Linked DNA regions of Xenopus tropicalis. The protein of the gene in region 3 purifies or fractionates together with the protein of the main gene of each other region. This does not show direct contact. Links are inferred from orthologs where the notes say so. Each region holds a gene or a part of one and is shown on either strand. Other genes may lie near its edges.

Region 1 (3,653 bases), on a different chromosome or scaffold from region 3:
TTCCAAATCCTAATCAGCATATGCTAATTAGGATTCAGTTTGGTATTCAGCGGAATCCCTTACAATGGATTCGGTGGTTCGGCCGAATCCATCCAAAACTGGGTTCGGTGCATTCTTAATTTAAAGGAACAGTAACACCAAAAAATTAAAATGTATAAAAGAAATAACATTATAATTTACTGTTGCCCAGCACTGGAACAACTGGTGTGTTTGCCTCAGAAAGACTTCTATAGTTTATACAAACTATAGCTCCTGTGTATCTACGGGGGCAGCTATCTAAGGGTGAAGACACAAGGGGCGATTATTGCGCGCTCGATTTGCCGCGGCAACGCAATTGTTCTATATGAGCGGAAAAAGTTAATTAAAAGTTGTGGCGACTAATCGCTCCGTGTGTCTTGGCCCTAAAGGTGAAAAGGCTCAGGTGACTTAGCAGATAACAGATAAACTCTGTAACATATAATGGGGGTTTATCTGCTATGTAACCTGTGCCTTTTCTCCTTTTTTCCAGCTTGAATGGCTGCACCCATGGCTACACAGCAACTTTTTTATATAAACTATAGTAGCATTTCTGTAGCAAACACACCAGTTTTACCAGTGTAGTGCAACAGTACATTATATTTTAATTAATTTAAAACTTTCAAATTTTGATGTTACTATTCCTTTAAAATGACCATAGGATCTAGAAACAAGCCTCTTTTTTATCCAGTTCAGAAAACATTGAAGATTTATAATGTCAATTACACTACGCAAACTCACTTCGACTGGGTGAGAGAATGTTACTGACACACACGGTTCATCCAGACTGACCATAACACATCGAATGGAAACTGGGTGATCCGCTGCATAGAAAGCAAATGGGAAATTCATCAAACCAGATTTGCACGTTTTGCGCCTTAAAGGAATGATAACAACAAATTATAAAAAGGTTCCATTTACCTTTGAATATAAATGATTATTTACAAACACAAAGGAAAGAGCAAAACAATAAAATGTATGCATAATTGAGCGTGGCTTGGTACCACTCCTATAACAAGCTCCAATGTGCCCCTTCAACCTGTTGCAATGAAGCAACCACAAATGAGCACAATAAAGCAATTACATAAATAAGATCATTTTAACAATAGAGGACCCTACAAGTTCTTGTAAGGCCTAGTCTACATGGCAGATAACAGAAGCTGAAAACATTGTTACATAAAAAAAAAGGACTGTTGTTCCCAATAAATATTTTATTTTCAGATGCATATAATACACATACATATATTGTATTTTGCTGTCCCTGTAAGGGATGAGATAAAGATCCATAAAATGCATGGGTGTGGCTAATTCTGCATAGGAAAATGTTTTATTGTACTGAAGTGTTGCTTATATTTTGGTTGATATGCAGAGTTACCAGATTATCCCCTTATTTACGCACATATATATTCTGAATGTGACTAAAGGAGAATAACATGTGCTGACATACACACTCTCTGAAAACAGTGCAGAGGGTTGTTTCTGCTAATGTTAATATGAGAGAATTGTTTTAATACTCTCAATGTGTTTGATGCACTTCTGCCACCTTCATAAACACTTGGGCACATAAACTACAACATGCTCCCTGCTGTTTTAGTCAAATTATTTAAAACACAATAGGAGGGTTATGGGATGTACAAGAATGTATGTGATTTCTATAAAATGAGTCAGTAGAGGGAACATATTGTATATTCCACTCCTAAAATTTCTTCTAGACAGATGCAAACAGAATATAAAACAAAGCATATAGAGGAGTCTTTAAGAATATTATGCTATTTCAAGCTACAGTGTGCTAAGCAAAAATTGTACACTAACCACAGGGTATCAGTTGCTCTACCCATAAACTTGTTGCCCTTTATTTCACTGCTTAATTTTCTTACCTCGTCCAAGAAGCCAGCGATGATAAAACCAAGCACTCTGGTCATTTGGGTCAGTAAAGAATGCATTCTGTACAAGTTCTAGCTCTGTAATTAAATTATGACATGTGAAATATTAGTAGTGAATAACAATGCTTACTGAAAATCTAATTTGTAACAGTTTATTTTCCAACAAATATTTCCTACTGCTCTCTCCCTCTGACACTCTCAATCCTCAACAATATCCATAGTGTACAAGAATACAATTTAAAAATAAATTTCTAATTTATTATCACATGATTCTGAATTTCGGCTATGCTATTACCCCCAATGTTCTGTAGGCAATTTTTACCCAAAAAAAAAAAAATAAAATAATAAAGTTGGGTTGTTGCTCATTTTTCTTGATAGGGATGTGCAGCAGTCACACTTCTTAAAGTGCTATTTAGTGACGCAGGCTACTGATTAGCACAGAGAATTACTATCCCCTTCTTATCAGGTCCTTGGGGCAGAATAAAAGAAGTGTCAAAAATTTGCCACTAACCCCTTTAATACTGTGACTTTCAAAAGTTTCTCCCTTCTCTCACCATTTAGCAGGGCCTCTTCTGTAACTCTACCAATTCTAAGTGGGTCTGGATGGATCTGTGGCAATAGTTTGCTACGGTAATGCCAGGAAGAATAGTTTGAGAAGTTTTTGCCAATTAGAGAAGTAGTAAATTCAAGCTCTTCAGGGAGTGGAACAGATGAGGACTGTGTAACAATCCTCCGGTAATCCCAACAATGAACTGTATAATATAAAAACAGACGTTGGATAAGAGACCAAGAGCACGTTAATCCACAGTAACATTCCATAGTCCCAACCAAGCTCATCCCACTCACAGTTTCGCTCATCAATTTCAAGAAATCGGTTACAGAGTGTCAATTCCCGTGCCCAATCTGGTTTAGGAATGATCTTCATAATCCAGCATCGGTGATACCAGGTCCCATATGACTTTGGGCTTACACGAAGGCAGTTCTCAAGGAAGGTGAGCTCTCCCAAACAAAGAGATTGCATCTCTTCTTCTGACCTCAAGTAGAAAAGAAAACAAATTGTTTTGTAATAGTTTTGTGTTACTATCCCAATTACCTGCAGCCAATATATTCAACACATCCCAGAGACACTGTGAAAATAATATTGTGTATTAGTAAAACATAAACACGTACAATATAATAGGTACAGACCTACTTAAGAAATGCTATATGGCTGTCAATGTAACCACGTGACCAATGAAGAGATTATATTCCTTGAAACAGTGGAAATGCTTACTAGAGTCCACACACTGAGCACTAGCTCACAAGTTAAAACAGATCAGAGTAACTTTCTGACCTTATTGGTCACTGTAAATCCAGCTTTAGTCACACATATTCTTTAGTGAACAATGAAGGCAAAATAAAGGCAAAGGCCTTCCTTCTTAAAACCAGGGTGTATCTTCTCCTTTAAAAAATTAATGTAATGATAATTTTGACATCTGAAAGTATTATTTACATTAAGCTACAGACTTGATTATAGATAAATGCTGTACTGCTCATGGGATCACTGGCCCATGTATTTGTGAGCACCATAGAAAATTATGCTGCTGCACAGTAATGTCTATGGAGATTTGCCATGAAAATCCATTAGTGGTATATATCTGGCTTTTTACTTTCTCAGCTGGAATTCCCTGCATTAAGTGCATTCCCTGCACTTAAGTTTAGTTATTCTACTTCAAATCCTAATAGCTTATGTGAAACACAAGTCTAGTATAGTTC
Region 2 (3,653 bases), on a different chromosome or scaffold from region 3:
GCCGATATCGGTCCTTTAGACAGATTCTGCAGCTTATCTGCCCATATATGGGCACGGGCCTGCCCGACCTACATCTGGCCTGAAATTGGCCAGATCTCGATCAGGCAGGTTTGATTTTTCCATTGGATTGGGGACCGCATTGGCTCGTTGATGCGGTCCCCGAACCAACAGTGCCTATACCAGTCAGTCTAATTCGAATTAGCCCGATACCGCCCACCCATAGGTGGGGATATCTGAAGAAGATCCTCTTGCTTAGCGACCTTGCCATGTAACACCTTTGTGTTTGGCCTGCTTTCTATAGCTGGTTATCCATGGCAGGTTAGAGTCATTAGGTATGCACATATAGACATGGGACTGCTGTCAGGGTAGTGGTTACTAAACTGCTTGTTCTCCACCAAGTAGTACCTTTGGTATTGATTAGCTATATGCTCTCAGTTTATTAATAATATGTAGAGATAGCAGATAAAACCTTTCCATTGCTTAAGGGCTCTGGCACACGGGGAGATTAGTCGCCCGCGACAAAACTCCCTGTTCGCGGGCGACTAATCTCCCCGGATTGCCATCCCACCTGCGAAAATGTAAATCGCCGGTGGGATGGCATACGCGGTGGCACTACAAGAAGATACCGCACTGTACAGTCTTGTTTTTATATCTTCTCTTGATATGTAGACTGGATATATTCTACTGACTTCAGTCAAATTTCATTGAGTTATAAATTGTATGCTATAGCTGGATCTTGCAAATGGCTAAAAAAAACACAGATTCACGATTGTTTCATGTGGTAATCGGATGGATCTATTACTACGCAGCCAGATTCTTTGCAGCAACCGTGTTCAAAATGTTGGAGTTTAATCACATCAGCTGAATAAATCCATCTTATATAATACAGTGTCATGTTTCTCATACTTTTGCATCTAGTGAACTCTAGCTTTATTAGATTGCAGACTTTGGCCTTATTCACACTACAGACTTTGATACATATTCACTTGGTCATGTTACTTTCTATGGATATAAAAAATGCCAGCAAAATCTTTTTTTGAGAATTCGGCAGCATAATGTGCTGTTGGTTCAAGTATAATACTACTCTGATAGATCATATTTGTCTGCTTTTATAGTGTCACCGCCACCTCTAGTGACAGGCAGATTCCATTAAACTAAATGACAACCCAAACTTGTTCCATCAGGCACTTTTTCATTTACCTTAATCATTAGCCTGAGTCAGCTATTTACAGGAGAGGTGGGAAGTGTGTGTTTACAATTTTTTTGGGGGGGTCTAGAAGCCATATAACTTGTTAGTGCTGGGCGGTATGACCAAAAATTTATATCACGGTATTTTTCAAAATTATATATCGGTATCACGGTATTTGACGGTATTTTTTTTTCCCCATGCATGATTAGGTGACCACCCCAAACACCCGCCACCCGCACCCCCCCCCCATCCGCACGCAACCCCCCCACCCCCCCATCCGCACGCACCCCCCCCACCCCAAACACCTCCCCATCCGCACGCAACCCCCCCACCCCCCCATCCGCACGCACCCCCCCCACCCCAAACACCCCCCATCCGCACGCACCCCCCCACCCCAAACACCCCCCCATCCCCTTCACATAAATATAACCCCCCACCCCACCCCCCCCCAAACACAACCCCATCCCCTTCACATAAGTATAACCCACCCACCCCCACCCCCCCCCCAAACACAACCCCATCCCCTTCACATAAGTATAACCCACCCACCCCCACCCCAAACACCCCCCCATCCCCTTCACATAAATATAACCCCCCACCCCACCCCCCCCAAACACAACCCCATCCCCTTCACATAAAATATAATTACTGGCCAGGCACCCCCCGACAGCTCACATTGGTATCCGACTCTGAATGCGTCCTAGCGATGGCGCTTTTGTAGAGTGTGCGCGCTGACGTCACGTGCGCGCTGACGTCACGCGCGCACCCGGAAGTATTCAGCACACCGGTATGTAGAAAATTCATATCGGTTTCAAAAAAAAAACCGGTGATCGGTTTTTACCGGTATACCGCCCAGCACTATAACTTGTCTTTCACGAAAGACATGGCATATGTTTTTCCTAAGTAAAAGTCAAGGAGGAGAATATGTTGAAAAAAATGTGTGCCACTTTGGTGTTCATACTTGAAGAAAATAGACTAGCTTTGTATGGGTTAATTCACAAGCTCTTCGAATTCAACCATTATTTGTGTACAGTACAGTTGTGTATATGTTGTTTAAATAGTTATAGATTTTTGTTTTCCTTTTAGGAATGCATTCTCTCAGGAATAATGTCAGTGAATGGCAAAAAGGTCTTACACATGGATCGTAACTCTTACTATGGAGGAGAGAGCGCTTCAATAACACCTTTGGAAGATGTAAGTAGCCGCCAGCACAAGACAGTTAGGGGCTGATTCATCAAGTATGAGTTTGAATCCCGAAATAGGTAAAATTCGGATTAGAGACGATAATTTATGATTGCAAATATCATGAAAATGCTTCTGAAAAAATCATATTAGTCATGATAATATCGTATCGGTGATCGAAAGTCACAAGATTTTCATATCCGAACTGTTATAATTGGCGGGAAAACCTTTCTGACTTTGGCCATCCTGGCCAAAGGAAAGTCAGTATACTGAAGCTTGAATCAATCCGAAACTTTCGTACTTGGCGCAACAAATACGATTTTGTCGCACAAATTGTCATGCTTTTTGTAGCAAAGTATAAAAAAGTCACAAAAAATACGCACAGTACGAAAACTTAAAAAAAAATACATGTCAGATAGTATGTCTTTCATTTGCCAAATCTAGTGGTTGATTTGATTTCTCTGTTGAGGAATGTTTCTTTGGACTGCAAGTTGACAAAAAATTACATATCTACTTTTAGCTATACAAAAGATTTAATATACCTGGAAGTCCTCCGGAGTGTATGGGGCGAGGAAGAGACTGGAATGTGGACCTCATTCCCAAATTCCTAATGGCCAATGGTATGTCTTAAATCTGTACTCTGTGCAGATGTGTGTGTATATACATGCTATATTAATGTGTAGTGCTGTATATAAGTTGCTTAACTGGGTGGACAATCACAGCAGAACTAAATAGAAATTACAAGAATGTACAATGTTATAAATATGCTTGAAAATCATAATCCCTATCTGTAAGGGGTGAAAGTCAAATGATGCATTCACCAAATTTCATGTCTCCTAAATAGAAACTCTCCCCCACCCCTGGTCTAGGCAGCAGGACCAAAAATCATAACTCTTAAATTCAGTTTCATCAGTAGTAACTATTTTGGTTTTATATTTTAACCTGAAATATGGTTCCCCCCTCATCACATATACCACAACCCATTATAATACAATAGCATTTGACTTACCCTGTGAAAGTGGACAAGCCCTCACAATCTTCCACCCCTGTCTTATGAAAGGGGATCGCTCGCTACAGGTATGCTTAATTACTAATTTGCATTGACATGCTTAATTACCGATTTCAGATAATTCATTGTTCTGATTATTTCTTAACACCAATTTTTTTTTAATTCATCTTTTTCAGGCCAGTTAGTGAAGATGTTGCTTTTCACAGAAGTCACCCGTTATCTGGACTTTAAAGTTATTGAGGGAAGCTTTGTCTATAAAGGAGGAAAAATCTA
Region 3 (4,393 bases):
GCTTACAAGCAAAAACAAAGATTATAGACTAAAAGGTAACTAAAGGCTAACATTTCTGAAAAGCTTCAGCGAGGTGGATACACTTCCTAAAGTTGCTTGCCACAAAGAGTCCTGTAAGGTGGGCATCAATTTTCAGGATTGTAAAAAATGTAAAGACATCCTTTATATAATTAATTTGAAGTTATCATTCTTTATTTAAATAGTGTGTAACTCTTATAATTTACATCAGTCCCATCACAGAAAAGCTAAAAATCTTATTTTGCTATTAAGCACACACTAAGTCAGTTTCACTAGAAGCTAGTAAAACTAAAACTAGTTAATCTACCACTGTGTTTCTAGATTGCTGGAGGAAACTGGATCACATGGAAAACCCCAGGTCATGATTCTCATGTTTAAAAGGCAAGGAAACCCTTAACTGATGCAGCTAGGACAGCTTTTCTAAGCAAATAAAGTAAATGCACCCCCAATCTCTACTAGCTTACCTTTTAGGGTGCTGCTAGGTCAGCCCTGCCCAATCAGTAAGCCATGAAATAAATCCATGTGCAAAAATGTAAGCAGCTCAAAGCACTGTTGCCTGCAGAGGGAAAAAACTTCTACACCTACTGTCCTGCCATAGAGGTCATGCATGACAAGAAAAGCAAAGAAACTGCCGAGACGCACTTCAGGGTGAATGCCTTCAATATTTCTAAGCAGAATGACAACAGTTTCAAGCAAGCACCCTTCCGCACATGCAGTGTCCAACAAGATCCTGGTGTATATGTGCTCATAGGAGACTGCTTGTAATGTCACTTGGAAGAGAAAGTGACCAGGCTTGCTGGCTCTCACATAGGAAAAGGAGCGGGCAGGACTGTGGGCTACTGTATTATCTGCATAGGGCTGATGTACAGCAGAATATGCAAGGACTTGTAGGATTTAATTGCTTTTATTTCAGTGTTACATAAACAATATATTTCGATTGTGTAATCAGACTTGAACACAAGAGGCTCCATTTAAATAATCATAAATTATTATGATTATCAATAATATCGATGAAGAGTGTCCATACATGGGCCCACAAGTGCAGTGCGACCCACAGGTTGAATGGCTACATAGCACAGGAGGGATGACACTTGGCATGACTAGCTTTCTATTGTTCAATCCACTTTCTCAACTGCCAATGCACCCTGAACTGGGAGATTTGACATTTCAAACCTGACCGATTCCTAAATCAACCAATATCCAAAGTACCTGATTGGCTGACACACAACTACCAAAAATCACATGAAACCTTGTTTTGTATGATATTATTGGTAAGTGTATGTGACCAGCATTACAGTTGAGATGTTTCTCTAAAGGCAACAAAAAAATGGCGCCTGAGGTGACACTGTAATTTTCCCAGGTGTAATAAGTTGAAATACCGACAGCCGTCTGGAGATCCCAAAATTTTGGTCAGCTAACAAAGGAGTAGCCGACAAATGCAGTCTGTCGCGGGGAATATCTAACAAAGCATTAATAGGAACAATATGTTGACTGCCAAATAAATATACGCATACTTAGTTTTCTTAGGATTCCCTTTAAGTTGAAGAGCAGGTAATGCATGACAATAACAAAATTCTTGGCAGACTACTGCAGAAACTAAAAGTAAATATACCTAAGAAGTGTACTGGCGCCAGCTATACCATAAGTATGAACGTTACAGCAAAACCTATGTGTAGGATTATCCTGTCCAACTGGAGGCCCATGGGCCACATGTGGCCCTCCGAGTGATTTTAAGGCTCCCAGCCTGTTCTAGGGTTTCAAAGAATTCAACTGCTACAGTGATTAGGGGTTTCTAAATTGTTTGGGGCTCTTTAATAAATTTAGGTTCAGAAGCCATAGTTTGTAAATGCAAAAGTGAACAATGCACACAAGAATCATCCCCAACAAGTTGTTCACAAGCAACACATTGCTAATCACATCCTGTTAAGTAGGTGCTAATTTTAAAACCTTGGTAGAAAGACAGAAAAGAGAGGCTTGGGCAAGCTGGCAGTGCACATGGGGCTACCAAGCAGCCAATCACACCCAGGATCCTTTTTCAATGTTGTGTGGCTCAAAGACAAAACCATAGTCTGTCTAGTGGTGCCTAAACCCCCCTCAAAGATCCCTCCATAGAGTGCAGATACATAAGTATACATGGCATGAACAGAAAACAAACACTAAATAGTACAATATACAGCTGATAAATGTCTAAATATGTCTACTATCAAAACAGTAGAAAGAAAAACAAAAATAAGAGTCTGTAAACCATTTTATCACCCAACAGGTAGTCTCTAAATAATGTAAAGGAAAGACAACTTTCTGACAGAAGCCATCTCAATGACTCCAAAGTGAAAGTGGGATGTTTATCTCCAGGACAAACCTTCCACTTCTTAGTCCTTCCCCCTGCGATGAGTTGGAAGGCCTTTCCTACACACCCAAGCTAAATCCCAGCACCTAATGTACAACAGCAAGGAGCTTGGGCCTGTAGTTGAACAACTGCCACAATTCCCAAAGGCTAGAAATACACGTAGGAAGCCGTAGTTCAGCTGACTTATTTCTTGACCAGCTGCGCTGATGGTTATACAGCCATGATCTGCTGCTGCCGAACCCAATTAAGAGTAGCTGGAGGAGCACTAGTTGTTAAGACCCTACTGCTGAATGTAGAATGTTTCTATACAGGGCAAGTACAAGTCCACCCCATGTGATTAGAATGATGATTCTTTGCTGCCCAATCTAAATCTCAGCTACTACTGCATACCGCCAAACAGGCCCGCTCTTCGCGGGACAGAGCCGATTTCCTCACACAGCCCGGGCTCCCGGATCGCTGCTTAAACGTCCCGCAACGCCGTTAACGTCCAGCTTCTTGGTTCCTGCCGGACAGCTAATCCCGACGTCACAATTCTCATCTCGCGAGAGTGTTGCGTCACACTACACGTATATAAGCGCAATGACGCATCACGTAGGCGGCTTTGGGGGACTGGCAAGTGTGGATGGGGTACTGTACCACCATTCATAAGCTGCTGCCAGGCTGTGGTGGGTACGGCAGAATGTGGGTCTCTGCGATTATTTGTAATGAGCTGCTCACAGCTTCTGCTTGTACTAGGCATGAACAGAATACACTTATCTTTCTAGGAGGTTCCCGGCCATGATTCCTCTACGTGCGTCTCAACGCCGGGTACCTGGGGGCATTTCTCACAATCTGACCAGAAAGGACAGTTTTTGTGCAAGCTAGGGCACGTTGAAACTATGTAACCTTTTTGGTATTTTGTATTTTTGAGAGTCCCATGGTATTTTCTTTTGTATATAAGCGCTAGATAGCAATTTTGGCATAAATCAATGGCTGATTTGGGGAAAAAATTGACCAAAAGGAATCTTCAGATTTTGGAATCATTTTCCTTTAGGGTTTTTTTTTTGCAATTTAGGGAGAAAATATGAGTATTTGCGAAAAATGTGAACTTTTTCTAAAGTTTAGGACTTTTCTTAATGACCACGATAATGTTAAAATGATACGACTTTTTCACATTCTGTGTAAATTTGCACAAAAACGTCGTATTTTTCGCAATGCCTACGAACATTTCGGAATTCATTCAAGCTTTGGTATGGTGACTATCTTTTGGCCGGGTTGGAGCTGCAGAGTGCCATTGAGCCCTATGGGAGACTTTCCTTGCGCCAGGTTGGAGCTGCAGAGTGCCATTGAGCCCTATGGGAGACTTTCCTTGGGCCGGGTTGGAGCTGCAGAGTGCCATTGAGCCCTATGGGAGACTTTCCTTGGGCCAGGTTGGAGCTGCAGAGTGCCATTGAGCCCTATGGGAGACTTTCCTTGGGCCAGGTTGGAGCTGCAGAGTGCCATTGAGCCCTATGGGAGACTTTCCTTGGGCCGGGTTGGAGCTACAGAGTGCCATTGAGCCCTATGGGAGACTTTCCTTGGGCCGGGTTGGAGCTGCAGAGTGCCATTGAGCCCTATGGGAGACTTTCCTTGGGCCAGATTGGAGCTGCAGAGTGCCATTGAGCCCTATGGGAGACTTTCCTTGGGCTGGGTTGGAGCTGCAGAGTGCCATTGAGCCCTATGGGAGACTTTCCTTGGGCCAGGTTGGAGCTGCAGAGTGCCATTGAGCCCTATGGGAGACTTTCCTTGGGCCAGGTTGGAGCTGCAGAGTGCCATTGAGCCCTATGGGAGACTTTCCTTGGGCCAGGTTGGAGCTGCAGAGTGCCATTGAGCCCTATGGGAGACTTTCCTTGGGCCGGGTTGGAGCTGCAGAGTGCCATTGAGCCCTATGGGAGACTTTCCTTGGGCCAGGTTGGAGCTGCAGAGTGCCATTGAGCCCTATGGGAGACTTTCCTTGGGCCAGGTTGGAGCTGCAGAGTGCCATTGAGCCCTATGGGAGACTATCCTTAG

What was found.
Region 1: the proteins of rab5a (region 3) and rabggta purify together in Homo sapiens (affinity purification with mass spectrometry; 3 studies listed by BioGRID and IntAct, counting the BioPlex papers as one, with this or other methods). This does not show direct contact. The link is inferred for Xenopus tropicalis from reciprocal best matches to the Homo sapiens genes RAB5A and RABGGTA.
Region 2: the proteins of rab5a (region 3) and gdi2 purify together in Homo sapiens (affinity purification with mass spectrometry; 3 studies listed by BioGRID and IntAct, counting the BioPlex papers as one, with this or other methods). This does not show direct contact. The link is inferred for Xenopus tropicalis from reciprocal best matches to the Homo sapiens genes RAB5A and GDI2.

What each region holds. Positions count from the first base shown.
Region 1 is NC_030677.2:139,152,682-139,156,334, reverse strand, and holds part of rabggta (geranylgeranyl transferase type-2 subunit alpha), read right to left. Parts: intron 2,933-3,653; coding exon 2,745-2,932; intron 2,651-2,744; coding exon 2,453-2,650; intron 1,977-2,452; coding exon 1,893-1,976; intron 840-1,892; coding exon 757-839; intron 1-756. UniProt on the Homo sapiens protein: Catalyzes the transfer of a geranylgeranyl moiety from geranylgeranyl diphosphate to both cysteines of Rab proteins with the C-terminal sequence -XXCC, -XCXC and -CCXX, such as RAB1A, RAB3A, RAB5A and RAB7A.
Region 2 is NC_030679.2:84,465,967-84,469,619, forward strand, and holds part of gdi2 (rab GDP dissociation inhibitor beta), read left to right. Parts: intron 1-2,275; coding exon 2,276-2,383; intron 2,384-2,891; coding exon 2,892-2,991; intron 2,992-3,556; coding exon 3,557-3,653. UniProt on the Homo sapiens protein: GDP-dissociation inhibitor preventing the GDP to GTP exchange of most Rab proteins. By keeping these small GTPases in their inactive GDP-bound form regulates intracellular membrane trafficking.
Region 3 is NC_030682.2:45,567,041-45,571,433, reverse strand, and holds the start of rab5a (ras-related protein Rab-5A), read right to left. Parts: upstream 2,864-4,393; 5' UTR 2,756-2,863; intron 1-2,755. UniProt on the Homo sapiens protein: The small GTPases Rab are key regulators of intracellular membrane trafficking, from the formation of transport vesicles to their fusion with membranes.